Linked DNA regions of Arabidopsis thaliana. The protein of the gene in region 2 purifies or fractionates together with the protein of the main gene of each other region. This does not show direct contact. Each region holds a gene or a part of one and is shown on either strand. Other genes may lie near its edges. The genes, in order: AT4G35410, AT1G23935, HAP13 and AP19.

Evidence for each region.
Region 1: the proteins of AT1G23935 (region 2) and AT4G35410 fractionate together in Arabidopsis thaliana (co-fractionation; one large-scale study listed by BioGRID). This does not show direct contact.
Region 3: the proteins of AT1G23935 (region 2) and HAP13 fractionate together in Arabidopsis thaliana (co-fractionation; one large-scale study listed by BioGRID). This does not show direct contact.
Region 4: the proteins of AT1G23935 (region 2) and AP19 fractionate together in Arabidopsis thaliana (co-fractionation; one large-scale study listed by BioGRID). This does not show direct contact.

The regions. Positions count from the first base shown.
Region 1 is NC_003075.7:16,827,432-16,834,502, forward strand, and holds AT4G35410 (Clathrin adaptor complex small chain family protein), read left to right. Parts: upstream 1-4,907; 5' UTR 4,908-5,140; coding exon 5,141-5,143; intron 5,144-5,492; coding exon 5,493-5,579; intron 5,580-5,652; coding exon 5,653-5,853; coding exon of another isoform or gene 5,854-5,883; intron 5,884-5,961; coding exon 5,962-5,997; intron 5,998-6,108; coding exon 6,109-6,195; intron 6,196-6,290; coding exon 6,291-6,365; 3' UTR 6,366-6,571; downstream 6,572-7,071. Other genes in the region: AGF1 (AT-hook protein of GA feedback 1), read left to right, coding at 2,172-3,071; DRL1 (dihydroflavonol 4-reductase-like1), read right to left, coding at 6,660-6,807, 6,901-7,071. UniProt on the Arabidopsis thaliana protein: Subunit of clathrin-associated adaptor protein complex 1 that plays a role in protein sorting at the trans-Golgi network and early endosomes (TGN/EE).
Region 2 is NC_003070.9:8,458,407-8,466,425, forward strand, and holds the start of AT1G23935 (apoptosis inhibitory protein), read left to right. Parts: upstream 1-3,350; 5' UTR 3,351-3,532; coding exon 3,533-3,601; intron 3,602-3,738; coding exon 3,739-3,832; intron 3,833-3,909; coding exon 3,910-3,975; intron 3,976-4,077; coding exon 4,078-4,118; intron 4,119-4,248; coding exon 4,249-4,344; intron 4,345-4,421; coding exon 4,422-4,502; intron 4,503-4,628; coding exon 4,629-4,694; intron 4,695-4,796; coding exon 4,797-4,865; intron 4,866-5,152; coding exon 5,153-5,263; intron 5,264-5,363; coding exon 5,364-5,456; intron 5,457-5,555; coding exon 5,556-5,602; intron 5,603-5,709; coding exon 5,710-5,914; intron 5,915-6,032; coding exon 6,033-6,109; intron 6,110-6,136; coding exon of another isoform or gene 6,137-6,189; coding exon 6,190-6,418; intron 6,419-6,547; coding exon 6,548-7,489; intron 7,490-7,609; coding exon of another isoform or gene 7,610-7,612; coding exon 7,613-7,740; intron 7,741-7,976; coding exon 7,977-8,019.
Region 3 is NC_003070.9:22,367,452-22,376,006, reverse strand, and holds HAP13 (Clathrin adaptor complexes medium subunit family protein), read left to right. Parts: upstream 1-3,783; 5' UTR 3,784-4,121; coding exon 4,122-4,250; intron 4,251-4,614; coding exon 4,615-4,761; intron 4,762-4,860; coding exon 4,861-4,923; intron 4,924-5,066; coding exon 5,067-5,243; intron 5,244-5,326; coding exon 5,327-5,430; intron 5,431-5,533; coding exon 5,534-5,641; intron 5,642-5,780; coding exon 5,781-5,877; intron 5,878-5,962; coding exon 5,963-6,060; intron 6,061-6,172; coding exon 6,173-6,314; intron 6,315-6,415; coding exon 6,416-6,538; intron 6,539-6,619; coding exon 6,620-6,718; 3' UTR 6,719-7,054; downstream 7,055-8,555. Other genes in the region: AT1G60783 (cyclin-dependent kinase inhibitor SMR2-like protein), read right to left, coding at 514-834; AT1G60770 (Tetratricopeptide repeat (TPR)-like superfamily protein), read left to right, coding at 7,359-7,586, 7,801-8,555. UniProt on the Arabidopsis thaliana protein: Subunit of clathrin-associated adaptor protein complex 1 that plays a role in protein sorting at the trans-Golgi network and early endosomes (TGN/EE).
Region 4 is NC_003071.7:7,551,041-7,558,837, forward strand, and holds AP19 (associated protein 19), read left to right. Parts: upstream 1-1,951; 5' UTR 1,952-2,081; coding exon 2,082-2,084; intron 2,085-2,914; coding exon 2,915-3,001; intron 3,002-3,090; coding exon 3,091-3,182; intron 3,183-3,267; coding exon 3,268-3,376; intron 3,377-3,475; coding exon 3,476-3,511; intron 3,512-3,599; coding exon 3,600-3,686; intron 3,687-3,775; coding exon 3,776-3,847; 3' UTR 3,848-4,123; downstream 4,124-7,797. Other genes in the region: HMG2 (3-hydroxy-3-methylglutaryl-CoA reductase 2), read left to right, coding at 1-140, 229-569, 690-941; AKR2B (ankyrin repeat-containing 2B), read left to right, coding at 4,830-4,869, 4,954-5,096, 5,180-5,392, 5,490-5,638, 5,714-5,870, 5,996-6,088, 6,366-6,505, 6,604-6,703. UniProt on the Arabidopsis thaliana protein: Subunit of clathrin-associated adaptor protein complex 1 that plays a role in protein sorting at the trans-Golgi network and early endosomes (TGN/EE).

The DNA.
Region 1 (7,071 bases), on a different chromosome or scaffold from region 2:
AGGTTTTTTTGGATAAAAGTTAAAATTTTAAATTTTGTGTAAACTAATTGGATACATCATCCAAACCCCTAAGAGGTGTTCTAGGTTCAATATAGTTTACGCATTATTAAAATTTTTAACCATTGTTTTCCTTTTAATAAAAAATATTTTAAAACTTATACTTTTATATTACTATTAAAACTTTAAAGGATTTTTTTTATAAGTGTTAATAAATTTTGTGTAAGTGTTAATTTTGTAAAAATAAGTGTTAAATTTTTAAAATTTTAAAGTTTTAAAATATTTTTGGATAAATGCTAGATTTTAAAATGTTGTCTACACTAGTTGGATATATATCATCAAAACTTTTCAGAGGTGTTTTAGGTGGCTTACACATTTTTAAAATTTTTAACATTTGTTTCTGTTTTATTAAAAAATATTTTAAAACTTATATTTTATTATTACTATTAAAACTTTAAAGGTTTTTTTATAAGTGTTAAATTTTTTATAAGTTTAATATGGTTTATACATAATTAAAAATTTTAACACTTTCTTTTGAAAAAAAATATGAAAACTTATATTTTTATAGTACTATTAAAAACTTAAATGTTTTGTTTAAATAATTGTTAAATTTTTAAATTCTTATGTAAACCAATTAAATACATCGTGAAAATCCCTAAGAACTGTTGAAATGTGTCTTTACGCTAAGTAACAAAAACTAAGAAGCCATATTAAGATGCATGTCCATCCATTAGTCGTTGAAATCGAATTAGTATTATTGGCAAGCATGTGCATAAAATTAATTCAGCTTACTTTGTTTGTAACATAAAACACGCCCCCTCTGTAAAGTTTTAGCAATTTTGATATTAGAACATTATAAAATAAAAAAAGCCAAGCCATGTCTTGAGTGGCTCGAGAAATCTAAAAGTTTAAACTAAAAAAGAAATAGGAAGAAAGCAAAGTGCTCATCATGTGAAAATGTGAAATCCACCACTCTTTTCACAAATAACAGCCATGAAGCCCCATTCATTGTCTTCCTCTACTCATTACACACACAAATTCTTTTTGAGCTTTACTCGTCCGATCACTTCATCACCACTCAAAAGAAAATATTCGAAAGTAATCCATATGAGTTTATATATCAGCATGATTAACTAGGAGAGAACAAAATTATTTCCAGTTCATTGTCTAAAATCAAAGTTTTAGGTGGGAAAATAACTACTACTCCTATGTTTTGATCTTTAATAAAAGATCTTGAATGACCAAAACTATTTTTAGTTTTTTTTCAGCAATTGGTTCTTGTCATGTTAATTAAACACACATGATTTATATATCTATAGACTCATGGTAAGAGCAAATGCTAGTATTTTAAAACTTCCGATCTTAATTTTGTAAAAATACTAAAATGTAATAGTTTGAACTTAAAAATAAATAAAAAGAGGACAATCGTTATGTTATTTACCGACAAAAAACACTAACAGATAGTTTGGTCGGTTATAGTTCTTGAAATCAAACAGCGTAACTTGACTTTGGAATAACAATTTACATTCGCTTTGTTTTCTTTTTTTGCTTTAAGATTAGAAAACAAAACAAATCTACAATCATCATATCACCATCACAAAACCATCCCTTCACCGTCACAAAAGGCCTCTCCTTTAACTTCTCTATCTCCGTGATTTACTTCTCCAGAATCCTTCTTTTGTCTCCCGCAGAATCCATCAGTCCCTTCTTAGGTCGTCAACATCTTAATTTAGTTTTTTTGCTTCACTCGAGGAAAAGTCACTACACCAACCCAACATATTATTATATGGATACACAAATATATTTGTATTATTTATATTTATATGTACCTTATTATAGTTTAGAAGAGAGCTGTGTTTTGTGATGCTCTTGCTTTACTTCTTTCTCTCCTTTGTTTCATTCCATTTCACATGAAGATCTAGATCTGGGTCCAGACAAATTTCACCGACCCAGCTCTTTCACATATGTAGACCTCTCTCTCTCTAATTATTCAGTAAGGTTTTGTTCTCTCTTGTCGTCTTCTTGTTTTGTCCGTAGCATTATTAATAATCAAACTCAGTCTCTGAAATACTCTCAGTGACAAACCACTTCTGTCGACTTTTGTCTTTGTCTCTCACTAGCTATAACCAAAAAAATCCAAAAACCCAAACCACAGTTTCTTGTTTTTGTTATCAATGTCTAGTTATATGCACCCTCTTCTAGGGCAAGAACTGCATCTACAGAGACCTGAAGATTCCAGAACCCCACCTGATCAAAATAACATGGAACTTAACAGATCTGAAGCAGACGAAGCAAAGGCCGAGACCACTCCCACCGGTGGAGCCACCAGCTCAGCCACAGCCTCTGGCTCTTCCTCCGGACGTCGTCCACGTGGTCGTCCTGCAGGTTCCAAAAACAAACCCAAACCTCCGACGATTATAACTAGAGATAGTCCTAACGTCCTTAGATCACACGTTCTTGAAGTCACCTCCGGTTCGGACATATCCGAGGCAGTCTCCACCTACGCCACTCGTCGCGGCTGCGGCGTTTGCATTATAAGCGGCACGGGTGCGGTCACTAACGTCACGATACGGCAACCTGCGGCTCCGGCTGGTGGAGGTGTGATTACCCTGCATGGTCGGTTTGACATTTTGTCTTTGACCGGTACTGCGCTTCCACCGCCTGCACCACCGGGAGCAGGAGGTTTGACGGTGTATCTAGCCGGAGGTCAAGGACAAGTTGTAGGAGGGAATGTGGCTGGTTCGTTAATTGCTTCGGGACCGGTAGTGTTGATGGCTGCTTCTTTTGCAAACGCAGTTTATGATAGGTTACCGATTGAAGAGGAAGAAACCCCACCGCCGAGAACCACCGGGGTGCAGCAGCAGCAGCCGGAGGCGTCTCAGTCGTCGGAGGTTACGGGGAGTGGGGCCCAGGCGTGTGAGTCAAACCTCCAAGGTGGAAATGGTGGAGGAGGTGTTGCTTTCTACAATCTTGGAATGAATATGAACAATTTTCAATTCTCCGGGGGAGATATTTACGGTATGAGCGGCGGTAGCGGAGGAGGTGGTGGCGGTGCGACTAGACCCGCGTTTTAGAGTTTTAGCGTTTTGGTGACACCTTTTGTTGCGTTTGCGTGTTTGACCTCAAACTACTAGGCTACTAGCTATAGCGGTTGCGAAATGCGAATATTAGGTTTTATTTATTTATTTTTTGTTTCTCTTAAAACTTGGTGTGTGAAAAAAGAAAACGAACGCTTAAATTTCCTTTTTCTGTTTGTTTTTATGAATAGAATTGGTAAGTTTCATAAAAAAAAAATAGTATTAATTTGTGATTTAATATCTAAACTTACAGAAAAATGTCAAATCGACCATATTAATCGTGAAAAATGTTATTATTAGGGAAAAATGTTATTTAATACCTAAACTTACAAAAAATGGCCAAATTAACCGTGAACTCGTGAAATGGCCGTTTTATCTCTCAACAAAAAGTTGACTTCTATTTTAACTTTTAAGTTTGCGTTGACTCGGGCTAATAAACCACCGTTAAAAATTCTTCTAACAGCGTAATTAACAGCCGTTACAGAACATCCGTTAAGGTGATACGATGACGTTTTGTGCTAAAGAGAAATCAAAATCGAGAATAGAAATTCCCAAAACAAAATCAATTACCCTAAACCCAAATCGAAACCTAATCCTGCCCCCAAAATCAAAATCGAAACCCTAATTGCTTCAATTCGTTTTCTGAAATGCCATTAGTTAGAAAGAATGGCGTCGTTATGAGGATTGGATCTCCAATGCTTCACGAATCAGAGAATTTGGTGGGAGATGGAGTCGAAGCACCACCGCGAGGAGAAAGAGATGAAATTGGAGAAGAAGTTGGGGGTGAAACGAATGTGGTATCTGAGTCTTGTGGCGGAGAAGAGGGAGCACAAGATGCAGCTAAAACAACGCCGGAAGGAGAAGCAGATCGAATTTGAGAGAGAATGATTTTTAGGATTTGGGTTTTGATTTGGAGATTTTTCAGAGGTTTCGTCGACTTTGAAGTCTGTTGATAGCACAAAACGTCATCGTATCACCTTAACGGATGTTCTGTAACGGCTGTTAATTACGCTGTTAGAAGGATTTTTAACGGTGGTTTATTAAACCGAGTCAACGCAAACTTAAAGGTTAAAATAGAAGTCAACTTTTTGTTGAGAGATAAAACGGCCATTTCACGAATTCACGGTTAATTTGGCCATTTTTTGTAAGTTCAGGTATTAAATAACATTTCCCCCCTAATTATTAGGTGAGTAATACGGAGAAAATGGACTTTAATTATATTCGTAAATTGATGTTCACACATTAAGGCTCTAACTAAATCTTCCGATTATTGTCATATAAACATGTTCTAATTTGTGATAAAACTGAACTTCCACTGTCTCGCAGAGAAGGGAAAGAATATTTTGGGAGAACAACTAAAACCCTAATATCTATGATGATGTCAACTTCAAAACACATTGAAACTTGAGAAAAACAAAAATCAAAGAAAATAAAAATAAAGCCTGCATGCAAGAGAATATGCCTTCCCTCCAAGGTTAAATAAAAACAAGCTTATGTGAGAGATTAAGTATGTTCATAACTTCACAATTGTGTCCATTAGTCGCTGCTCACGTTAGTCAGGAGTTATTTCTGTTGGGTCTTATCAAAACTGTTGTTTATGTCTATTTTGATTATGGACTTACCTTTACATTTGCATTTTATATTTTCATTCTTAGTTATAAAAAAATTGCTTATACTTTTCTGTTGTTTGACCCAGCACCAAGTATAAGAACAATTAAAAAATTTGATACCTAAGAAACTAATTCTATAAGATTAATTGAAGAATTATTTTCATTCAAAATCTTTTGACATAATTGCTACGTTTAATGTGTAATGCCCTGGTCTATTCGATAAGATTAAGAAGATAATTGCAATAATGGAACAAAATTAGCTGAGAATGCAATCCGTTTGCATGGATCCGACCCGGAATGCAATCCGTTTTTAATTATGTAAATGACAATTATACCCCTGGCACTCGACATGTTTGACAGTTTGAGCAAAGAGAATTTTTTTCTTGTTGAGGATCATCGATTATCAGTTTCTGGATTTCGCTACTACAGATTTGTCCCGTCTTGAGTTACGAAATCATGGTAACAATGCTCGATCTTCGATTCTGTGTTTACGAATGCTGCCCTGGATTTGAATTTCGCATCTCCGATTCGTTCTTATGCTTCTTCTTCATTAGTTTGATACTTGGATCTGCTCTTGATCGGTGGTTTCAGATATTTCTCTTCAAATTATTCTTTGCAGATAGAAAATTTGGTGACTTTAGTTTGATAATGCTAGCTTCTGGGTTTGATTTTTCGTAGTTTCGATCCTCCTAGTTCAGTTCAATGGCTTCAAATTTGAAACCTTTGTTTGTTGGACTCTTTCTTAAGCTGGTGAGTTGATGATCCTAATAAGAAACCAATGGTGTGTTTTTGATTTGTGTGTTTTCAGATACATTTTGTGCTTCTAGTTAGCCGGCAAGGAAAGGTAAGGCTCACCAAATGGTATTCTCCTTATGCACAGAAGGAAAGATCTAAGGTATGTATTGAGCTTCATTCACACCTTGTTATGCTTTAGCATACATCTCTCATCTTACATGCTATGTATATAGGTTATACGTGAACTCAGTGGAGTGATTCTGAATCGAGGTCCAAAGCTCTGCAATTTTGTTGAATGGAGAGGATACAAAGTTGTTTACAAAAGATATGCAAGTCTCTACTTCTGCATGTGCATTGATCAGGAGGATAACGAGTTAGAGGTCCTTGAGATCATTCATCACTATGTTGAGATTCTCGATCGCTATTTTGGAAGTGTGAGTACCAAAAAAACCAGCACCTGCTGAGATTCCACCTTTACTATCTCTTACCTTAACGGAACCTCTAAATTATGATAAGGAATTGTTTTATCTGATGACCTTCAGGTGTGTGAACTCGATTTGATTTTTAACTTCCACAAGGTAATAGCATGCTGCAAACACTCAAGGACTCTGCCATTCGTCACTTGATTCTCTATCCTCTGCATCTTTATATCTTGCTGACAGTTTCTGGATTTCTTGTTGCTTTCTTAGGCATATTACATATTGGATGAGCTCTTGATTGCTGGGGAGCTTCAAGAGTCAAGCAAGAAAACAGTAGCCAGGATTATATCCGCTCAGGTACTGAGTTGTATGTTTAAGTCATCGACATGAAAATATTAGTGTAGTAGTTTTTTCTTGAGAAATGACAGTCTCTGTCTGTTATGTTGTCAAAGGATCAACTGGTGGAGGTTGCAAAAGAGGAGGCCAGTTCGATAAGTAATATAATCGCTCAGGCTACTAATCGATAAGTAGTCTTATTCATCATCTATGCATTCTTATGCAGTTAAAGTATGTTCCCTGTCTCTGGCTACAGTAATTGTTTTGAGAAATCTTTATCCATTTGATTTTTCTTGCGGAGGGATTTTCGTCTTAAAGCGTAACTTGGAGAGAAGAAATATGTTATGATTTGGTTCATAAACAAGTAAAGATTATATCGTTTGTAATCTTTGATTTCATGTTTTCCAATCCCATTCTTTCATTGTGAATCCACATGACTACTATTTCAGACCAATCTTATTTGCACATATTCTCTAGTCCAAGAGTTATGGAAGAACAGTAGATAAATAGCCTTGCTCGACTAATGAGGCAATGCAGTCATCGAACATCTCTTCAAGGGACTTGAACTTGAGCCCGAGACTCTGTATCTTCGAGGTGTCAAAGTCGTAATGCAACCTATTTAGTTTCTCAAACCTGAAATTTTCAAACAGAGTATCATCATGATCTATGATTTTAAAATTTTACAAGGTTTGAGAGATGGTTTAGTTTAAAGGGTCAGTGTCAAACCTCTTGGGGATAGGGAGTGATGGGTAACGAGCAGATAGGAATGAAACGAGTTCCTCTAGACTGATAACGTTAGAGCTACAAATGTATCTGCCTTGAGCTGCTTCGTGTTCGAAAACGACTATGTGGGTTCGTGCAACGTCATCGATATGAACATACCCCATTTGTCCATGC
Region 2 (8,019 bases):
TGGAGGTAGGTCGGCAGGTAGGTAACGAGCCGGCAGATGTGCGACGAGCTGGATGAACCGTGGTAGAGAGGCGAATTGGACAAACCGAGTTGTCTGCTGAAGGTATAGACGAGCTGGGCGACGAGATAGGTGGACTATGCAGTCAATGGACGAACTGCCGCTAGGCGAGGAGGTAGATGAGTTTTGCAGTTGAGGGATGAGCTGATAGCTAGACGAGGAGTCGGACGAGCTGACTAGCTGACAGCTAGGCGAGGAGATGGTCGCCGTGATGGGAAGAGCTTGAAGACGAGCTGAGGAGCTTTGAGGACGATATGAGGAGCTTGAGGACGAGCTAAGGAGCTTGAAGAGCTGACGAGCTACTCTGTCTCTGGGTGTCCCGGCCAACTGGGTCAACTTAGCTACTCTTGTATTTTAAGTTGTGTATTGACCGACCAACTGGGACAACTTAGCTACTCTTGTATTTTAAGTTGTGTATTGACCGGCCAACCGGGACAACTTAGCTAAACGTTTTGATTTTAATAAAATCCTAAAACACATAAACCATTTCAGAAAATAAGTTTGTCCTCTACACATAAACTACGCATAACATTCTCAAATACACAAAAAGAAAGTCCTATTTTGACAGACACCTAATAGTCCACACACACACATAAGCAAGAAAGAATTTTCAAAGTCCTACTTCTTCTGTCTCTTCCTCGTTTGCTTCCCCTCAGTTGTAAACTCTTCCCCCTTATACTTGGAAGGTTTCCTTCCACGTTTTTCCCCAGATTCCAGAGTAGGACCAACATGCTTTCTCTTCTTCTTCGATATCTGCTTCTTCTTCTTCTTCTTCTTATCCTCTTCATCGGACTCATCGCTGCCATCACCTACAAAAATATGTAACCAAACATCTAAGAACTATTGTGAAAGCATCACTACACAAAAGTTCAACAAAAACTCACTTAGAGACTCAATAGTTGGAGGTGCTGGGTCACGGATTCCACTGTGAATAACCAAGGCCTTGCTCTGAGTATCCCTTGGCTGATAAGACGGTGGCACAAAATCAGCAGCTGAACCAGGACGCATATCTTCATATTTGTCTTTTTCTGCCTCTTTCTCAAGCTGATCTGCCACATATTCCTCTATTCCTTGTACTCTCACACAAATCCGCTTGATTTCGCTATCCATCACAGCAAGCTTGTCCGTGAGCTTGTCAAATCCTCTCTCCATAGCTTCCTTGAACGAGAGAATCGATGTTCCAGGGATTTCAGGTTCAGGTACAGCTGGAACATCATCAACAGTTTCAATACGTCTACCATCAATGTCTGCTTGGTAGAGACTACGCCAGAAAATCTTCTTTTTCTCTACGATAAGCCTCTCTCTCCAACTATCAACAATCGGATCGATATATCCAATACCATCATCAACATGCTTCTCTACAACGCGTGACAACATTTTTCTCTCATCCATATCAGGTTCCAAGATGCTTGAAATATCCTGTCAAGTAAACATATATTTCAAACACCACAAAGATTATAAACATAGATTTCAAGAGAACAAAGCTAACCGTTATATCTCCAAGTGCTTCATTTATTTCTTCCAAAGTAAATCCCTTCATGCAACTTTCACTGAACTTGTGCTTGCACATTCTTGGACATTCCTTGTCTGCAGGTACAGCTTCTCTAAATCTCTTCCCAAGCTGCGGAATGCACTCAAATGCCAGAATCTAGACACAAAAACATAAAAGTAAATGCAAGTTCACAATAACAAAATCTAGCCACTCATATAATTTACTCGACTACTTACCTCAAGTGGAGTAATAAATCCATAAAAAGCAGTTTGTGCCTTGGGTTTCACCACACCTATCATGTTCTTCATTACTCTCCGCACCCCTTCCATACACTGCTCAAAAGAAAAACGTCCCCACGGGAATGTCTCACAAGCTCTGACATTATCCACAATCCTAAGAAGCAACTCCTCTATCTTCGAATCCCCTTTAGAATCAGCTTTCATAACCTTAGCTAAGAATAACAGAATTGTCAACTTCAACCTAGCAGTAGACTTCTCACTCTTAAACTCTTCCAGCTTCTCTTCCACGTCTTTAATCTTGATGTCCTCAGTCCTCTTAAACAACTTCTCAACAAACTTCAAACTGCCTAAAGTCTTATAGTTTTTTGGGTACTCACGGCAGTTCAAACCGGTCAACAATGCATGCTCTCTAATTGAGTACCTTATAGGTACTCCATTGACAACAAACCAACACTCTCTCGCCAATTCTGTCTTAGCCGTGCGAACCATAAGCATCCACATGCCTTGAATCATGTGATTGGGCTCCTTAGGCATGTGGAATATGTGCTTAAATTGGTCATGATTCCTAAACCACTTCAGTTCTGCATCCAAAGTCTCTATAAATTCCACTGTTTGTACCAACTGACACCTCGTTCCTATCTTACACACCTTCGTGTAGGTAGTTGGATCAAAGTACATAACTTCTGGCGGCAATGGTTGATTATCATCATCATCATCATCATCATCATCATCCTGCATATTCTGCGGCTGAAGATCATCATCACCATCCTGCATATTCTGCGGCAGGTTATCATCATCACCATCATCCTGCATATTCAATTCAAAATACTTTCAATTTCACATTAACTACCTAGTTGTACTACTTGTTCCTGAATGACCATTCACAAATTTACGACCTAGTTGTACTACTTGTTTTATCTGAAGCACCATTCACAAATCCAATCATTTACCAATGCATGCATAATATCCTAAAACGAGCCTAATCAAAAAAATAACGGTCTTCTATCATACCTTATTTGCTCCATCATCATGTTGAACAACTGCATTCGTTGCCTCTTCTTCTTCTGCACAAGAATCGGCATTTGGGTCTGAAAGATCGTCATTTGATTCCCATGCGACGGCGTTTGAATTACCCAAATCGGCGGCGTCACAATCGCCGGTTGTAGGCTGAATTTCTCCGGCTTCCTCTTCTGTTGTAGAAATTTCGCCGGTCGCTTCAACCCTAGTTGATTCATATTCTCCAGATGAGTCTTTTACTCTAGCCATATGAAAGAGACAAAGACGAACTGAAATTGGTGGTGTCGTCGGAGACGAGAGAAGACGACGACGGAGAGAAGAGGAAGAAGTCGAGAAGTGAAAAGGGGGAAGAATTAAGTTTTTACTTAGGTTTTTTCTGTAGTTAGGGTAAATAATACAACTGGGCCGAGTATTTACATTTTTCTTTGGGCCCGAGCCCAACAAATTAAGTTTTCGTGGTTTCGCCTGGGTTTTTCGTCATTTCGTCATTTTTCGATTTTAATAAAAATTAATAATATTATTTTAAACATAAGAATGGCACGAGTGATTATTTCTTTTCCAATAGTGGCATAAGAGGTGAGCTCTCGGTTCCAGGCGGTGAGAAAGACAGAAAGAGAGCTAGCGAAGGTACATTTAAAGTGAGATGGAGAGTGAGAAAATCTGTTGCTAAAAGCGGTTCACCGGAGAAGATACAAAAGCCGGCAGCAAAAAACTTCAACTTTCAGTCATGTCAAACCCGGAAATGAACAAACTTCTCAACAATCTTGAGCTCAAAAAACTCTTGGGAAAATCTGAGGTGTGCTCTTTGCGATTCTCTGTGTTTGTTTCCATCTGTTTTAGAATCATTTTTTCCTATTTAGAGCACAATGCGTAAGTCTATTTTTTTATATTGTTAAATGGATTTATCTAAGATTATGTAGCTTTTGTTTGTAGGTTATATCTATCTGCGACATTGAGCTGATATGCAAACATCAACCTGAGCTTATATCTAAGATTATTGATGTTCTTGTCGAATATCTAAATACTGGTACTTTGGTTATTTTGGTTGTTTATCCTTAATTTACTTATTCTGCTTTCACAATTTAACTCATATGATCAAAATAGAGAAACCGGTGGAGTGTGATGCCGTGCAAGAGGTTTTTATGGCGATGGTTCATGTTGATAAAGAAGGTAATTTGATTTCTTCTGCATTCATCTTCATTGTCTGAATTGTATGAAAGGGTGAGCATCATAGCATCTACTTATGTCTCCTTTCTTACTTTCTTGGTGTAGCATCTTTGACTGCAATGTTGAACCATCTTGCTAATTTCAAGGTCAGAGTCTTTTCTTTATCTTTTTTTGTTTTGTTTTATTTTCTCTATTTTTAGGCTAGCTCTCTGTTTAACTTGGTACAAAATGTTCTGCTAAATAAATTGAAAATTTTAATAATATGTACTCATGTAGGTGCCCGATTTGAAGAATAAACTGCCAATTTTTATTGAATTGGCATTATACAAAAGCAATTTAACGAAAAGACGTATATCGGATGTACTAGAAAAGGTTTGGATTTCATATGTTCTTCTTTGTTTCTTTACGTATGTATTTCTCTCCGTCTGATTTTCTTTCCATGTTTGCAGAGTCTACAAAAGGAAAGTGAAGCAGACTTGCAACGACTTGCACAATATTTTGAAACAAAGGCTGGTTTGGATACATTTGATGTGAGTATTTCATGTGACGCTCTCAACCTATTAGTTTCTGAACTCAAAACGTCATGGTTTCTGAAGCTTTCATTGTTGTGCCGCCGAACTACTTCTGATGTCCACCAAATATTATTTTCCCTGTAGGTTTCAGATGCACATTATGTTGACAGGTTTATATCATGCCTGCTAATGGCTGTTCCATTCTTTGCGGTATGGACTCAGATTTATTGTTGCATAGCACTTTTGGATGTTAAATAGTTAAAAAGATGCTTTGAGAACCATAAATCTTACGAACTGTCTTCTTTTGATTAGAGAGGTGCTCCAAGCAGCAAGTATTTTGAGTTCATGAACCGTCACCATATCTTGCATCATTTTGACAAGGTACAACATATCTAAATTTTTTATTTTCTGTTAACGTACTTGAGACAATAATTTTGTCTGTACATGATCTCTTAGTGGGCATAATAGGAGTAGAGTACTAGTTAATGGCGTTGAGGGTACGAAGTCAATTCTTAATTACCCTCAACTTGCATGGAACTCTTTTTGTTCGTAAATAATACTGTCGCTTGGCTATCTTCGTCCTTTTGTTAGTAAAATCTTTATTATTGCTCCAGACGTGAGCTCATTTTGTTATAATCATAATCTATACCAAATCCTTTTTTCACTAGCTGACAGAGCATAGGAAGCTTGATTTTCTCAAATCTCTTGCTGAAATGTCGTCAGACACAACAGCTCAAGCAGCAGGCCAGATGCTTCCATCGATAATTGAGCTCTTAAAAGTGAGCTCTTAAAGGACCATAATTAATACACTTCTCTAGTTTAACATCTTTCACATATTTATGGACTTATCTATTATTGACTGTTGTCATTTTCTCTCAGAAATGCATACCCGATACAAAGATGGAGAGAGAATCCATGAATATCTCATATATTGAGTGCTTATTATATGTGCTCCATCACCTAGCCATTAAGGTTATATAACTTTGTTTAGTTGTTTTCTAACTTCATTTAGTTGCTTGGCCAAGTCTCTTTGTCTTTCTTGTAACTTATGTGTTTCTGTTTAATGTATAGGCTCCAGCTGCAGCAACAGATTTTTGCAACGAAGAATTTATGTTGAGGTATTGTGAACTATATTACTATGATATTCTGTTTTCTTCTTATAAAAATTTGTTTTCGGTATTTTGCTTCAACATCCTGCATTAATACAGAATTAATGTTGTTGCAGATTGGATTGTGTTAGATCTATAACTCGGGCAAGATTGAAGAAACTAGACACAACCTTAGCTAAGGACGATAAAAAGGTTTTGGAAGCTGAGAAATACGAAAAGAATAATGATTGGCTGATGAAAATGAAGTTCAGATATGAAACAAAGAGGCAAAATACGAAAACTGAGTTTCGGAGCTGCAATAACATACTGGCCATTAGAAAGGTTGCAAACATAGCCATACCTTTTTCATCTTTTCTTCCCTTTTTATCTAGGTATCCTGTGAATCTGATTTAAGCTACTTATACAAATCTAAGTATCTAACCGTCTATACATGTTACAGTTATTGAAGAGAAAAAAGTCTGGCTTTGTCAAACTTTCTTGGAAAGAAGCTAGGAAGGCATTGTTAACCTCATATACGTATAAACCCAATTTATTGTCAACTAGGTGAAATCTCTTTGTCTTCTCACAGGACTCATCTACTTCTTTTATCTTCTCAGAGACAGCACATGCCCGATAGCCCCTATAAGGTCTGATGCGCTTGAATCCGTTTCAAAGGATTGTAAGCTAAACCTAGATGATACAGGAATATGCGATCTAACCGACAAGCAAGTTCAAAGTATTCTGGATTATTCAAAATATCATCAAGTTTCTCGTAACAAAAATGGTGCATGTGTGTTAAATGACAATGATGACATCGCTATGCTCGGTTGGCAAATGAAAAAATCGGTAAACATTTTAAAACTCTTATTTTACCGAAATCTTTTACACCGGATATATGTTCCTATATGGGAGCTTAATCAATAATCAGATATCTTCTCCATTTTACCTAAATCGTTTTTGATTTACAATATATAGGACTTAAGTTTCCTAGAGACGGCTGGGGAACAGGGTAGATCGGGTGAGGTTAGAGATCAACTTTTTCACCTTCTCTGCTGGGCCTACGCAGGCTCTGATCTAGTTAGTTACCAGAGATTGTTACAGAAGTGGGAGAGGAAGACACTTCCTCTTTGTCCTTGGTATTTATGTGCCTTTTGCGAGCCAGAAAAACTTGGAGAAGAGGAAATACTTGATAGAAATGGAGAAAAGAAAATACTTGTTGATAGACATGGTCGTGTACATCATTGCTATGGAGGTACAATTGAAAAAGCATTATGCCACGTACAGAGCCATGGAATTCCAAGGGATGTTGTCACCAATTTCCTTTGCACGGATTATCATCCCCCAAGTGCAGATGAACCTGATATGGAAAGAAGAAAAATTAAAGGATTTCGAAAAATCAACACTTGGAAGGATGTTGTAGAGGCGCTTCAAAAGCAGCAGATAGTGGGGGCAGATTTGCTTAATTACAGTCAACTGATGATGACTTCAGGAAAGTATATTTACAAAGGTCCCATGTCACGAATGAGTGTTTACGTCGGATATCACGCCGTAGTAATAGAGCAGATTAAGAAAATGAATGGAGAATGGGTTGCTGTTTGCAAAATGAGCAATGGCACGTTGGTGGCTGATTATGGATACGCTTATGTTTCCATAGAAGTTCAGTACATGCCTGTTGGTGCATCTGATCTGAAAAGGAAGAGGATACGAGGTTCAGACCATCCAATGCATCTCCTTACCAATTTCATCATCGTAGACATGGTGGAGGCAGATGAGAATGATAGAAAGGATGCAGAAAGTGAAGAATCAGAAGAAAAAGACTCAGAAAATGAGGAGGAAGAGGATTATATTCCTAAAGCAAAAAGAGGTCTTACTAAAGATCCTAAACCAAAAAGAAGTCGTACTGAAGATCCAACAATGGTAAGCATCAAAGTGGCAATCTCACTTCATCGTTTGCTCCATGATTAATATGCAGATGCTTTTTGAGAATTATTGTTGGCTTCAAAAGATATGCAATGACTAACTAACTGCCATGAGTAGCAGGTAAAGGAATCTGATGCAGTGGGCGATACCGGGGATGCCATTAGTCGCCATAACTCAGATTCGACTACAAAAGTGATGGAATTGGTTGCTCTAGTGAAGCTGTTATCTGGCTTTCCTTCTATTTCAAAGTATGCTCAAATTTGTTTAATCTCGTTGAGCTATCTGTTTTTATCTTAACTCGTTCATCTAACATCCATTTTCAATTCTAAACATGCGCACTAAGTGTATAAACAATGAATTGGGCTGTCTACCAGAAACTCTAGCGTGTTACACTCTGAAAAAGGATCAGAAATTTATTGTAAATGTACATCCTGTCCTCAACTCTCTTTTGGTAACTAAATAGTTCTCTAAAATTCAATGGCAGGAGAATTAAAGACATAATTGTGAAGCAGAAAGGAAGCCTTCTT
Region 3 (8,555 bases), about 14 Mb from region 2:
TATTTTGACCTATGGTGCAATGATTCGATGATTTCGATCATGATGGAACTAGTTATGTCAAAATCTTCATAGTTGAGTCTTCTACTAACAAAACTTCACTGGTAGACAAACATTCGGAGTAAAATTGAATCATGATGACAGAATCATGAAGACAGAAGACTAAAGTAAACAAAGTTTCTTTTAACCATCTTACAGTTTTCAACGATTTAGATATTATCTTGGAACAGGGACGAGTACTTACAATTTGTTGGAAAAAATAGAATAATAGCTTATGGTAAAATCAAAAGAAAATAAAAAATAAGAAACAAAAACTAAAAGATAGATACTTAGTAATTGTATCTTTTTTTGACAACCATTTTAATGTTAAGACACTTCAGAATAAAGAAGCTAAAGTAAGGAAGAACTCATTTAGAAATTTAAGAAACTATTTTTTTGAAGTAAACCAAAACAGGTTAGAGAGAGTAGAGATTATATATAAGTGATCTCTATATATAATTAATCAAAAATTCAAAATCAAGTAGTTCTGTATATGAAGACGGTCTCGAGATCTGGTGGCGAAAAGAACTCTCTAGGGCCGTAGCTAACCTTCAATGTCAGTTTCCGTTTCTTAGGCGCCGGAGGACACGGAATTACCGTCGGTATTCTAACGGAATCCGCTGTTGGAGTCGTTGGACAGAGATCTTCGTCTTCCGTGTTGGATACGGCAGAGGAAGAGAGGCTAATCGGCTTCACCGTAGAATGTAAGGAGATTCCGGTGATGACGCATTTCTTCCCTTCGGTAGTTTCGCTAAATTTTCTGTCAAACTGGTGGTAAGTCTTGCCGGAAAATCCCATAAGTTATCGTATGAAGTTAAGAGAGAAACAAGAATTTTTTTTGATGTAAATGAAGGAAATGGAGAATGAAAGAGTAAAAGATTAGGTTGTTGTTAAAGTAAGACTTGTTTGGAACGAGAGAGAATGTGAAGAGAATGAAACATGTGATTCAGAGAAGGGGATTGGTCTTATAGTCAACAGTGACTTCAAGACAATCGATCGTTCGATGTCGATTCAGTTCAGTTATTTTTTCCACGAATTTTTTTTTTCGAAAATTCGTATCTTAGTATTTATTTCCTTGGTTACATTAAAAGAACGTAACGAAGAGATAGTGACATTGAGTGTACATTGTATCTTTTATTAAATGTGAGAGAATATCCTTTTTTGTTTCTTTTCTCAAGCATAAAGAATGTAATCATGGTATTTAAAGCATATGTTTAATGTGAAAGAAATACAGTATTATGTACCCTAAATGGAACAACTTATTTTGATATACGTTCTTAAGTTATTTTTTGATACATAATTTAGTGGTGATGCCAATAGTTTTTGTTTTAGTCATACAAACTGAAAGGTGCTATAGTTTTTAAAGGGTGGTGCAAAAGATATCGATCGTAGTCAACTAAAAAGTGCCCTAACTAATGATTACGATAATCCGTTTTATATTGGTCGAAGTTAGGTGATTAAAATATGGTTTCTCTACAAGTATTTTGTTTGGACACTGCAAATAAAACCTTCATGCACATAAATTCTGGAACCATCTTCATTTTTTTCATAATTAATCTCTATCATATATAGTAGTATAGACCCCGAAGTAACTTAAATACCAATTATGTATTATAAATACGGATTGATAACATTTCATATCGAAACATTTCATACATTTTATATCTGTAATGTTACAACCAGTCTAAAGCCAAGGATTCTAGAAACTAGAAACAAATTTTACTAAAATTAATTGAGGGAAAACTCAAGAATGTGTGTGTGATCATTGAAGAAATGAAGAATGTGTGTTAGAGTGAGTGAATATTCAAAAGACTCAAATAGGTTTTTAATGAACAATAGGGAACCCGAGGAAACGCGTGACTCTAAGATATATGAATTTATTTTGCACTTATTACTTTTGATTAATTTTTATATTCTAACCCTTTTTTATATACTATTTTTTTCAGTGCAAGTAATGAATGAAGTAACGAGATGAGAGTCTAGTTTCAAAGTTTTGAATCTTTTTGGTCAATGTCGTCTCTATTTGTTGACCATATTATACGTTTGACTTTAACCCCATTTTTCTTTAATCTCATTCTTCTTCTTTGCTTCAATGGTTGACGAATTCTTACCGTAGAAGTTGCATCTAAATATACCAAAGATTAATACTGCGAAAATATGATAAAGAAGATTTTTTTTTTTTGTACTCTCTAGAAATTTGTAAACGATATTATTAGTGTTTGATTAAAGACTCCAATTTTTAACATAATGTCTATATCCACATAATGAATTTGTGTCTCTACTATATGTAGTGTTCCCGTCATATATGCATTTTTGCGATAGTCAATCGGATCTTTGTATTGCGGTTAATTGATCTGGTCTTTCTTGAGCGTACAAAATAAATAGAATTGTACGTATTATTAGAGATGGTTACATTTGGTTTACATTATTAGTTAAAGTTAACCAATAATGTAAACCAATAAAGTTAACCAATAATGTAAACCAAATGTAACTATCTCTAATACGTATGTTGACTATGATGTACTTCAAGACAAGTTCATCATCACTTAACGTAACTAACACTATATTAGTTAAGTTCAAGACTTATTGCCCATGATTCATTTGTAAACTATGAAGTAACATATCTCTGATTTTTTCCTCTTATGTTTGATAAATTAGTCATTATAATTAGTGTCTTGCCAAAAAGTACACTTCTATCTTATTAGCATTCTACATTACAAACTATTAATTTCACTACGTATAGCGGTATAGGGAGAAGATCAATAAGGCGATCACAATATTAGTTAAGTTCCGAGTCTTGCATTACCATTGTCCTATGAATCACAGAACAAGAGGACGCATATATATATAGTATTTATAAAAGACTAAGATAGTCACAGAACAAGAGGACGCATATATAATTGACAAATACTCAAAACATGTGAAAAGATAAGGGCTATTACGTCTTCATTAAGATCCCATAATCTTTATGATGAGAACTTAAGAGCCAAACTAGCTATGTAACAAAATATCAAGTTTGAAAGTAATAAACTGCTTGAATAAGCTTCAAGTTCACTACATGGTTTAGAAAGGTTTAAAATCTATTACTTTCAAACGCTTTTATTGTGTACCAATCAATCCAACAAAGTATGCAATCGTACTAATCAATCCAACAAAGTATACACTCACACCGGTAACATCAAAAATTCAAAAATTCAAAATTTCATGTTACCAATCAATCCAACAAAATATACAATCCCTGAGACCGAGTTATAATTTGTTGGAATGATTGGTACCAGTGAAATTGTGTTGTCGTGTGAACATCAACACATAGGAGGTAATATACGTAAATATGCTAGCAATCAAGCTAAGTATACAAAACACTTCATGTTGCAGTGTTCTATTGAAATTTTATATATCGAACTAGAATACTATCATGGAGAATGATCAAATGTTGCATATCTTCATATCCACGAAAAATGAGTACACAAACATTCGATCATACCCCATGACAGTTTTCTAGTTTATACTTGATAGTCCTCACGATTTCATGGTGGTGACACTACACAAACCCTAGATTCCCCTAAAGTTTTTGTGAAAAACGCATATGTTCGATTTTAGGTTTTACTTCTATCCTTGATTCATTACAAACCTATTTTTATACTAATTCGTCGTTAACCTAATAATTTTAACCTACGAAACCCAACCTATATGGGCCTGACTTTATGTAATGATCCAATGGGCCTTTCTTCTTCAATGATGACTTTCTTCATTGACTCTCCTTCTACTTTCGATGGTATTAAATTTGACGGAAAAAGTAAAACGATACCGTCTGGGTGAAAGGCAGAGCTCTTTGCTTCTGAATATTATTATTTTCTTAAATTCTTCCGTTTTTTTTTTTAATCCAACCACAAGGATCGATAACGAAATCATCAGATCGCCAGAAAAAAAAAAAAAATTGCGAAATGGAGAATCTGAGCTGCAGATCTGCGTCAATCTCCATCTAGATGTTGTTGCTACTTCTTCCTCTATAGAACCATAATTTCATCAGATCTCGCTGATTAATCATCCCCATTTGGATCTGATCGAAACTCTTAGGGAAGAACATGGCAGGAGCTGCCTCCGCGCTGTTTCTGCTTGATATCAAGGGACGCGTTCTCGTCTGGCGTGATTATCGTGGCGATGTCTCCGCTGCTCAAGCCGAGCGATTCTTCACTAAGCTCATCGAGAAAGAGGTTGTTCTGATCTTCCTCTTATCGCTAATTGGTCTTTGTTTATTGCTTGGTTACTGTAGAATTTTCAGAGAAACATAGAGTTAGCGAACGAACTTGTAGATTTGTGTTTGAAAGATTCGTCAATTGGAATTGAAACATTTCGAAGATAATGGATTCGTGTCCATTTTCATCTGCACTGGAAATGAATTTTGAAGATAATGGATTCGTATCAGTCTTTGTGATCTGATGCCGCTGAAATTTTTTGGAAGTAATGAACAAGTTTGATCATTGGTTAAATGTTTTGGATTAGAATTTGATTTGAATCTGTACTTTTGAAGCATTCTGGTTTAAATCAGAGTAATCATCGTTTTGTTTAATTGTTCAGGGTGATTCACAGTCAAATGATCCAGTTGCTTACGATAATGGGGTGACTTATATGTTTGTACAACATAGTAATGTATACTTGATGATAGCATCCAGGCAGAATTGTAATGCTGCCAGTCTTCTCTTCTTTCTTCACCGCGTTGTCGATGTAAGTATGGCTGGTCAATTCTTTAGTTTTTCTCTTAAGGTTCCATCTTTTTCCTGGATATTTGATGTAATGGCAATGGTATCTGTTATCTGGTTATAGGTTTTCAAGCATTACTTCGAGGAGTTAGAAGAGGAATCATTGAGGGATAACTTTGTGGTAGTGGTATGTTAAGCTTCTGTCATCGCTCTTTTAGTACTATTTCGCAATATATTTTTCTATTACTTGGGCAATCAAAAAGATCCTTAAAATTTTGGAAAAGTATTTGTCATTGTTAGATGCTGAAATTGATTTTTTGGTGCTGGCAGTATGAGCTACTTGACGAGATGATGGACTTTGGTTACCCTCAGTATACCGAAGCAAGAATTCTCAGTGAATTCATCAAGACTGATGCATATAGAATGGAAGTTACACAGAGACCTCCAATGGCTGTGACGAATGCTGTCTCCTGGAGGAGTGAGGGAATACAGTACAAGAAGAATGAAGTGAGTGCCATTGTTTTCGCAAGATAGGAATATGTTTCTGATGTTTCGGTTTGCAAATAATGACAACCTGCTTCTTTTTCCAGGTTTTCTTGGATGTTATTGAGAATGTAAATATTCTTGTCAACAGTAATGGGCAAATTGTCAGGTCTGATGTTGTTGGAGCGCTGAAGATGCGAACTTACTTGACGTATGTCAACACATCAAATTTACGATATAGTTCCTAATCAGCCAAAGCATGTTAAATCACGTCCCTTTTTGACTATTTTGCTCTTTGATCCATTCTATTGCAGTGGAATGCCAGAGTGTAAGTTAGGACTGAATGATAGAGTATTGCTGGAAGCGCAGGGACGAGCAACTAAGGGAAAAGCCATTGATTTGGAGGACATCAAATTTCATCAGTACGTCTTTAAGTTTTTATTATATTGAAACTTGGAAAGTCTTCACTGATCTTAACCCTTCTATTTTCTTTTTGTTCAAAAAGATTATATACTTGAGTTTTATGTATTCTCTTCTTCAACAACCATTTATTTAATGCAGGTGTGTTCGATTGGCCCGTTTTGAAAACGATAGGACGATATCTTTCATACCACCTGATGGGGCTTTTGATCTGATGACATATAGACTCAGCACTCAGGTTTGACATGTGGGATATAGCATCTACTGGAATTGTTCCACGTCTTCAACAAGTAAATATCATGATTTGTTTCTTTTATGTTCAGGTAAAGCCACTTATATGGGTGGAAGCACAAATAGAAAGTCATTCAAGAAGTCGTGTTGAGATGCTCATAAAAGCTAGAAGTCAGTTCAAGGAACGAAGGTAAATATATTCTATGGTATTTGTGCCACTTTCCTTTTCTGTCTTACTGTCATGCAAAGATCCTGATTGATCAGATTCTTTAAACCTTTGATCACGAACATTCTTTTTGTAGCACCGCAACGAACGTTGAGATTGAGTTGCCTGTACCAACCGATGCATCTAACCCCACCGTTAGGACATCTCTAGGGTCTGCCTCTTATGCTCCTGAAAAAGATGCGTTAGTCTGGAAAATCAAATCTTTCCCGGGGAACAAGGTATAACACTAACAAGGTTCAATAAACTCTTAAATTCAGTTGAAACAGTCAGCAATGTAGACTATGTAGTATCAATGCTAACCTTCAGAAAACCAATATAGGAGTACATGTTAAGGGCAGAGTTCCATCTTCCAAGTATCACTGCAGAGGAAGCAACTCCTGAGCGAAAGGCTCCTATCCGTGTCAAATTTGAGATCCCTTATTTCACTGTTTCAGGGATTCAGGTAAGCTTGTGCTTAATAATAAATGGTTACTGTCTCTTCCACAATGTCATATATATAATATATATGTTCTTTGGTGTGTAGGTTCGGTACCTAAAGATTATTGAGAAGAGTGGGTACCAAGCACTTCCATGGGTGAGATACATAACCATGGCTGGTGAGTACGAACTAAGACTCGTGTAATGCACATTTAGTTTCATCGTCTATGTCAATTGTGATTCCCACATCCCTCAAGGAATTGCCTGAATCAAAGAAGCAAAACGAAACAGGACAAAAGTAGAGGGAAAAGAAAACGTTTTGAAACATTTTAGCTGATCAAATTTTCCTTTAATTTGTTTTAGAAGCCATATTCTTGTGAATTTGTCTTTATGGTGATTCTATTTTATTTTACATGAGGCTCTCTGTAACCTTTCACGACATGGTTCATTATTTTCCTTTAGACTGCTACATTTCTGTCTATGTGTTCGTTCTGCGATCAAAATTGTTAAACGTTGAGGTTTTGGTTTTGTTTTTTGGGGCATTCGTCTATGTTTACATAGGTTTCTCTCGAGTTATGATCAAAATGAAACTACATAAACAAATTATGCTTCAATAGAGTGAGGTGAGAGAGCCTTACAATAGAGAGAACGTATATTTTGGTGTTTCTCATATTGTTTAACTGATATAGTATGGGCCGAAATGAAATAATCGTCAGGCCCATTAAAAAGCCCATAATCACCATACTTTCTCCTCCAATTCTGTTTCGAGCTTGGGAAGTGACAGTGAATTAGGGTTTTACTCAAAAAACCTTCTCGTTGTCGTTGTTTACTGCTCCGACGAGAAAATGGCGATGCGACATTTGAGCCGATCGAGAGACGTTACAAAGAGATCGACAAAGAAGTACATCGAAGAACCTCTGTACAATCGCCTCTTCAAAGATGGTGGTACAGAGGTCAAAGTTCGACAGCAGCTTAATCAGTTCCTCAAAGGCACTAAACACGTCTTCAAATGGGAGGTCGGCGATACGATCAAGAAACTCCGAAATCGCGGCCTCTATTACCCAGCTCTCAAGGTTTCATAAATCCAAATTGCATTTTCGATTCTCTAGGATTAGCTTCACAATAAGCATTTGCTTCAAATCTGTTGAATACATATAGAAATGTAGATTCTTAAGTGGTATTTTGATGCTCATTATGAACAATTTAGTAATTGTTGAATAATTTTTTCACTGTGTGATGATTGTGTCTTTAGATTTCATATTGTGGAGTTGTTTTTTTGGTTTGTAGCTATCTGAAGTTATGGAAGAGAGAGGTATGAACAAGACAGTGAGTGATCAAGCAATCCATCTTGATCTTGTTGCTAAAGCTCGTGAAATTACTGCTGGGGAGAATTATTTTGTTGATCTTCCGGAAACATCTAAGACGGAACTCACGTATGGGTCTCTTTTGAACTGTTACTGCAAGGAGTTGTTGACAGAGAAAGCGGAAGGTTTGCTGAATAAGATGAAAGAGCTCAACATTACTCCTAGTTCCATGTCTTATAACAGCCTCATGACTCTTTACACCAAGACAGGTGAGACTGAGAAAGTTCCGGCGATGATTCAAGAATTGAAGGCGGAGAATGTGATGCCGGATTCGTACACTTATAATGTCTGGATGAGGGCTTTGGCTGCTACTAATGATATTTCTGGTGTTGAGAGAGTCATTGAAGAGATGAATAGAGATGGTAGAGTTGCTCCGGATTGGACTACGTATAGCAATATGGCATCGATATATGTTGATGCTGGACTGTCTCAGAAAGCTGAGAAGGCTCTTCAGGAACTGGAGATGAAAAACACGCAACGGGATTTTACGGCATATCAGTTTCTTATTACTTTGTATGGACGTCTGGGGAAGCTGACTGAAGTTTACAGAATTTGGCGTTCGTTGAGGCTGGCTATTCCGAAAACCTCAAATGTAGCTTATCTAAACATGATACAAGTGCTGGTCAAGTTGAATGATTTACCTGGTGCAGAGACATTGTTCAAGGAATGGCAAGCTAA
Region 4 (7,797 bases), on a different chromosome or scaffold from region 2:
TGCTGGGAGGAATCTGTATCCGAGGTTTGCGTGTAGTACTGGTGATGCTATGGGGATGAACATGGTCTCAAAAGGTGTTCAGAATGTCTTGGACTTTGTAAAGAGCGAGTTTCCTGACATGGATGTTATTGGCATCTCTGGTAAACTCTTCTTTCCCTCTTTGGTGTTGTCTCGATTTTCGAAATAAAGTTGAACTCTTTTTGATTAATTTGGTGTTATGGTGTTCAGGGAACTACTGTTCGGACAAGAAGGCTTCGGCTGTAAACTGGATCGAAGGACGTGGTAAGCATGTTGTATGTGAAGCTTTTATTAAGGCTGAGATTGTGGAGAAAGTGTTGAAGACTAGCGTTGAGGCTCTTGTAGAGCTTAACACGCTCAAGAATCTTGTTGGTTCAGCCATGGCGGGTTCTCTTGGTGGGTTCAATGCTCATTCAAGCAATATTGTCAGCGCTGTGTTCATCGCCACTGGCCAAGACCCAGCTCAAAACGTGGAGAGCTCACACTGTATGACCATGATTCTTCCCGATGGTGACGACCTTCACATCTCTGTTTCAATGCCTTGCATTGAGGTATAATGCATGTTCTATCTTGAAATTAAACCCATTATTGCAGAGAACACAAAGCCGTTAGTTTTTTGAATTATTGTTGGATCCAACTCATGAATGTTTTGTTTATTGATGTGACTCCAGGTTGGTACTGTTGGAGGTGGGACACAACTTGCATCACAAGCAGCTTGTTTGAATCTACTCGGTGTGAAAGGATCAAACAACGAGAAACCTGGCTCGAACGCACAGCAATTGGCAAGAATAGTGGCTGGTTCGGTTCTTGCAGGAGAGCTTTCACTAATGTCTGCTATTGCAGCTGGACAGCTTGTGAAGAGTCACATGAAATACAACAGATCCAGCAGAGACATTGGCCCTTCGTCTCAAGTCAACAGGTGATGTTTGGAGCACGATGAGACGGATAATAATAAAACAACAAAAACCCATAATTAGATTTGATGTAATTCTAACTTCATTTGATTTCTTCTTCATCGATCTCTTTTCTTTTCTATCTATTTTGTACTAAGTCTCCAAATTTTCTTAATTTATGTAAAGTCTTTTGTCCTTCCATCTTTATGGCTTATATTAATATCATAGCTTAGCATCAAAATGTGTAATTAAATTGCGGTTTAAGCTTTAAAGCCATGATTTTTTTTTCTAACATTGAATAGATTATTGTGGCAGTGTTTGCTTTGTGATGATTATGTACGTGACAGAGTTAGGTACTACTAATAAATGTAGAAATGTAGTTGTGAATATTGCAGACGATGGAGGAGTGATATGGTAGTTTGACAAATGAAGCATTTGAGGCAATGAAGTCTCTCCTCATGGCATGTGTGTGTATGGGTCTTTGATGATATCTTAGAAAGTAAGCAGTAGAGACTGTGCAGAGAGCTAAACCAACAATCATTATTGATTTTAAACCAAAGAGAGTAAGAGTTTTATTATTATTGATTTCTGATTACTTCTCTTACAATTGAAGTAATGAATTTTATGTTACGACAAATTTGATCATTTATATAGACGTAAAAATGTAAATTATTATGCATGCATAGTGACGCTGAGGCTCATACAAGTTATAATTTACTCTCAATATTTTCAGGTTGCACATCAATTGTTGATATTTTGTTTCCTCCTTTGTTCTAACTTTTACAACAATAATATCTCATTTTGAAAAATTGCCTAAACCTTTTAATAAAAAGTTGTGATTTTGTTGCAATTTTTAATCTGTAAAAATGCAATCCGATTAAGTCGGACCGTCAGATCAGTCCTCATCTTGTTTGTTTAACGGTCCAGATTTAAAACACTACCCCAGTAAATACAAAACCAACTGAAGAAAAATAAATAAAAAGTAAATTTTTAAAGAGTCCGACCCGGGTCCCTCAAAAAAAAAAAACTCCGACCCGGGACAAGATCCGTATCCAACAAACTTATATGTGTATCGGACACAGAAGAATACTTTCCACGATCATCAGCTTCTGGAGATCTCTTCTGGGAATCGAGCTTCACTGTTAAAGATTTTCCTTCAATCGGCTAAAAATGGTAACAATCGCCACTCCCTTTGCTTTTGGGCTTCTCTGTTATCTGTTCGAATTTTGGATCTGCCTTCGATCTTGTACTATTGCATCGAGTATCTACGATTTGATTTGATGATGAAATTGAATCTAATCCTCCGGTATCCGTAGATTTCTGCTTGGATCTGTCCGGTTCTTTTCTCGCTTACGAATTGATCGATTATTTAGGAAGTGAAAGGATTAGTTTGTTTCGTGAAGCTTGAAATTGTTATGTTTCTGTTGCCCATTCGAATCTCTTGTGAGTTATTAAATCCAATTCATTGTTTTTGAACCACTATTGCTCTTGAAGTAATTAAGCTTCTTGGATTCAAATGTAATAGGGTCTAAGCTAGTTCATGTACCTCACATCTCTTTATTTGCCTCTGTTTCTGAATTGGCAAAATAAGCTCGTTGATCTCTCCATCTTTCCATATCTTTAAATGGTTTAAAAACTTTTCTTGAGATGCTTGTGGCTTGCGTTTAGGTGTATGATGGTAAATGATTCTCAAGTTCTGGTACTTGATCTCTCACAATTCCCTCTTTTGCTTGCCTTATGCAATTATGTGCATTTCAAATCTTTATGAGTTGCCAGAAATCGTGATATATACTACTGGTTTTGTCTGGTCTTGTTTTAATTCTCTTTATCTCGATGCTGTCTTTGTGATTCTAGAATTTTCTCATGCTTGATATGGGTGAGGAGACGTCAAAAACTAATTAATGTGTTATGTATTGCCATTCACAATGATAGAATAATGCTTTCTTGAAAAGAAAAAAAAAAACTTCTAAGGTGGCTGTTTTGGGTTATGTTTGTATTTTCAGATACATTTCGTGTTACTAGTCAGTCGACAAGGGAAAGTAAGGCTCACCAAGTGGTATTCGCCGTATACGCAGAAGGAAAGATCTAAGGTATGTACAGCTTAAGTGTTATTGAGTTAATGCCGCATTATGCTTTGCATGCCTATTTAATCTTACATTTGGAAAAATGATCTGGACAGGTCATACGTGAACTCAGTGGAGTGATTCTGAACCGAGGTCCCAAGCTCTGCAATTTTATTGAATGGAGAGGATACAAGGTTGTCTACAAAAGGTAATAGACATATTTTATATAAGTAGCATGTATTTGCTACTTTAAAAACAATGGTTATAAACATGATGGTTTTGTAATTTTGCAGATATGCAAGCTTGTACTTCTGCATGTGCATTGATGAGGCGGATAACGAGTTAGAGGTACTGGAGATAATTCATCACTACGTCGAGATTCTTGACCGCTACTTTGGCAGTGTGAGTAAACGCTTATCCAAAATATACTCCTACCACTCTATCATAACCTTACAAAACATCTAGATTTTGATTAAGAGCTGTTTATTCTATGATCTTCAGGTGTGTGAACTCGATTTGATTTTTAACTTCCACAAGGTATACATACTCAACTCTATCAATGATTCTCTACTCTCTGTATTTTACTTCAATATGACAATTTTCGAATCTGGTTGTTTTGTTCTAGGCGTATTATATACTCGATGAGCTGTTGATCGCCGGAGAACTTCAAGAGTCAAGCAAGAAAACAGTTGCAAGGATAATATCAGCCCAGGTATGGTTTCTTAATCCTAATGCCCACTGAGACAAAAACGATTAGTCCGTAAGGGTTGTGTAAATGATGTTGTGTTATAATATTTGAAGGATCAATTGGTGGAAGTTGCGAAAGAGGAGGCGAGTTCCATAAGTAATATAATTGCTCAGGCTACCAAGTAGTCCTTTTCTGAACTTTTCTTATGCAGCTGAAACAATCGTAAATGAGTTAATATTTTCCTTAAACTCTGAGATATTCTCTTCTGAATCACACTTTTGTTTGTCATGTCATGTGATTGTTTGATTGATTAGAAGAAAGAAGCATTCATCGTTTTGGGTTTAAAAGTAGTGATTGATCTGCGAAATCATAAATGGTATACTATTTTTTCACATATGTTACGTTTTAAAACGTGGAATGCTGAAATTTCATCAAGTTCATCATCTCGAAATTATAATTTGTCCGATTGATTGAATAGAATTGGTTTTTGAGCCTGAGGACTGATGCACCAAACAACATGCCAGTGTCTCGTTCTTTCTTCTTCAACGTGCCTAATTTTGTAATTCGGGCGACCTAACCTCATTTTGTGTAACCGTGATCCGCCATGAGAGGAGGTATCCGCTCGAAGAGTTATCCTTTCTCCTCACAAAAGCAACGCCAATGTCCCTTTTCTCACTTTGCCCTGTTTGCTCCTTAGTACTTGTTTCACCAAAATAATCTATAGGATTTCAAATACATGAAGAATGTTTGATGGTAACACCAAAAATAGTGGAGAAGAAACAGACACTTATGGGCTTGGGCTCAAGGACTCGAAACTTGTATACCCAAACTTAAACGTGACTGCGTCTTGTTCTTACCAATCCAATAATTTATAGTAATGATAATAATTCATCTTTCCATATATAATTTTTTTTAATTATTGAAATTAAAAATGAGGGAAAGAATATCCGTTTTCTTTGCCACAAAAACATTTTCATTTGGGGGTTTTCATAATTTTTGGTTCTTCAGCTCCTCAAGCTTCGATAGGTATCGATCGTCTTCACCATACTTTTGGATTTTTTCTGATCACGTTTCAATTCCAATCTGAGAGATCTTCCTTGATTCGATTTCTGAATATATCTCTGTAATTTTTTTTCTGGTTTTTTCTAGGGTTTTAGTAATTTTCCGATGGCTTCAAGCTCAGAGAAAACACCTCTTATTCCTTCAGGTATATATGTTAATCTCGATTTTAGTTTTAGAATCGATTTGGTTGTTGTTTCTTCGAGTAATATAGAGAAATTGTTTTCAACAGATGAGAAAAACGATACCAAGGAAGAGAGTAAGAGTACTACTAAACCAGAATCAGGCTCAGGAGCTCCACCTTCACCTTCACCGACTGATCCTGGGCTTGATTTCAATGCTTTTGATTTCTCCGGCATGGCTGGGATCCTCAATGTAAGTTCTCTTTTGTGGGTGTATGATCATTGAATAGTCAAAGGTTGGATTTTTTCTTGTGTTTGATTGGTTTGTTTATTCAGGATCCAAGTATCAAGGAATTGGCTGAGCAAATAGCTAAAGATCCTTCATTTAACCAGTTAGCTGAGCAGCTTCAGAGATCTGTGCCAACCGGATCTCATGAAGGAGGTCTACCTAACTTTGATCCACAACAGTATATGCAGACAATGCAGCAGGTTATGGAGAATCCTGAGTTTAGAACAATGGCTGAGCGTCTTGGTAACGCTTTGGTGCAGGTACCTTTAATACAAGCTCTTTCGGATCTTCTTGTTATTATTAGTTAGTCAATACTTGAGGTGTGATCATGACATTGAATCTCTGTTTGGTGTTTAGGATCCACAAATGTCTCCCTTTTTGGAGGCTCTTGGTAACCCTGCAGCATCAGAGCAGTTTGCAGAGCGTATGGCGCAAATGAAAGAAGATCCTGAATTGAAACCTATACTAGCTGAGATTGATGCTGGTGGTCCTTCTGCTATGATGAAGTAAGCATGCCATTATTTGCTATAAATTATTAGGTTTACTTGTGTTCATGGCTAATAGTTGATTACTGGTGTTAGGTACTGGAATGATAAAGATGTGTTGGCAAAGCTGGGTGAAGCAATGGGTATAGCTGTTGGAGCAGACCAGACTGTTGCAGCTGAACCTGAAGAGGCCGAAGAAGGGGAAGAGGAAGAGTCTATTGTTCACCAGACCGCTAGTCTTGGTGATGTCGAGGTAAACTGATTCATACACTGTTAGTCTCTCGTGTTTCTGACGGTCTATATTTTATACTTAAGTCGGAATCATTGATCGAGGTTAGCTCATAAACTCTCTGTGCATTGATTTCCTGAACCAACCAGGGTTTGAAAGCTGCCTTGGCATCTGGTGGGAACAAAGATGAAGAAGACTCTGAAGGAAGGACTGCTTTGCATTTTGCATGTGGATACGGCGAGGTATGTCAACGTCTCAACAAGCCTTAACAAAAAAAACTGTCGAAATGTCACTATCACAGAATCATGGAAGGCAGTATATACTACCAATATTTACTAGCATCATGCACTTGATGGATAAGCAGCTTCGGTTTCACTTAGTAGATTATTACACAATTATCTGTAGCATTCTTTACAAAGGAAATTGACAGTTGCCATTATTACATCTGCAATTAGAAGTTGTTATAAAAGCTTAATCCGAAGTTTGAACCCAGCTGACCTAGGTTGAGTTTGTATGTAGGTGAGATGTGCTCAGGTTCTTCTGGATGCTGGAGCAAATGCAAATGCGATTGACAAAAACAAGAACACACCATTGCACTATGCTGCTGGTTATGGAAGGAAAGAGTGTGTAAGCCTCCTCCTAGAGAATGGTGCTGCAGTGTAAGTTTGCAACAACAAGAACACAAATTCGATTTCCAAACAACTTAGTAATGGTTATATAAGACTCTTTTAAGTGTCGTTTCATTTTCTGTTTGCAGAACTCAGCAAAACATGGACAATAAAAATCCCATTGATGTGGCCAGGCTAAACAATCAGCTAGATGTGGTGAAACTACTTGAGAAGGACGCTTTCCTCTGAGCTGCTTTGACTCTTGAAGGATATGTTTCTTCTCTGTCATGTAATAGTGTCACAGAGTCTGATTGCAACCTTGTCTTCTGTGGGGGTTTTCATCATTAAATCTGGAAAAAAAAGATGGAGAAAATGGATGTTTATTATGGTTTTGTAATGAATTATTTTCTTCTTGAATTGGTTTTTTCTTTTGGCTCTTAAAGTCTTTTTTGTCCTTCTTTGTGTGCCACAGGGCTTTAGTGTTGCAATCACAAAGAAAAAACCCTTAAACTGTTATATTCGAGAAGGAATAGACTGTTTAATCAAATCGGTGATAAGATAATTTGGAGATTTTTAACATGCCAACCGTAAATTAGAATGAAGAGTAGAAAGCCCATAGAGGATAACGATACTAATAGATGAGATTTGTACATAAGTAATGTGCAGAATGGAAGTCGATAGAATGAAATGCAAAAGTGAACTCAAGAACAGCAAAGATGATAAAACTTGGACCTCAAATCATCTTTGGCTCTTTGCTGTTTCTTTTGTTTTCTCTCTTGAAAGTATTATTGAAAAAACAGTAAAAAAAAACTCAAAATTGAGGTTACTTCAATTTAACAATAGTAAAATCATCAACACAATTTTTTTTTTTAAAGACATCTTAATTTTCTAAAATGGATATACAAAATCATATCTTGCACCTCGGAATTTGGTCCACCTTAGACGTTTTTAGTGGCAAAAATTCCCGGATTTATGTGGATTCCAATATTAGTCTAGGTTTCGGCATAGAATTCTCCTGGTTAATTAAAAATATGTATACAATGTTATAATTTAATCAAACCAACAAAATAAAAAGAGTTTGTAAAAATTTCAAAATAGTTCTTTCAAATAAATTCTGAACAGTCTTTTAAATTTATTTTTAGTGTTTAGTGTGTCATATGTCATATGTATACAAAAACTTAATTTAAAATTTGTTATTTTGAGTGAGAGTTTTAACTGTAAAACTAAATATACGATTTTACAAAAAGTAATATAAATAAATTAAGCATTATTTGGAAAATAATGTAAAGCTGATAATTATATTCCTAATTTTAAATCCATATTGTTTCCTTAAAGAATATTTC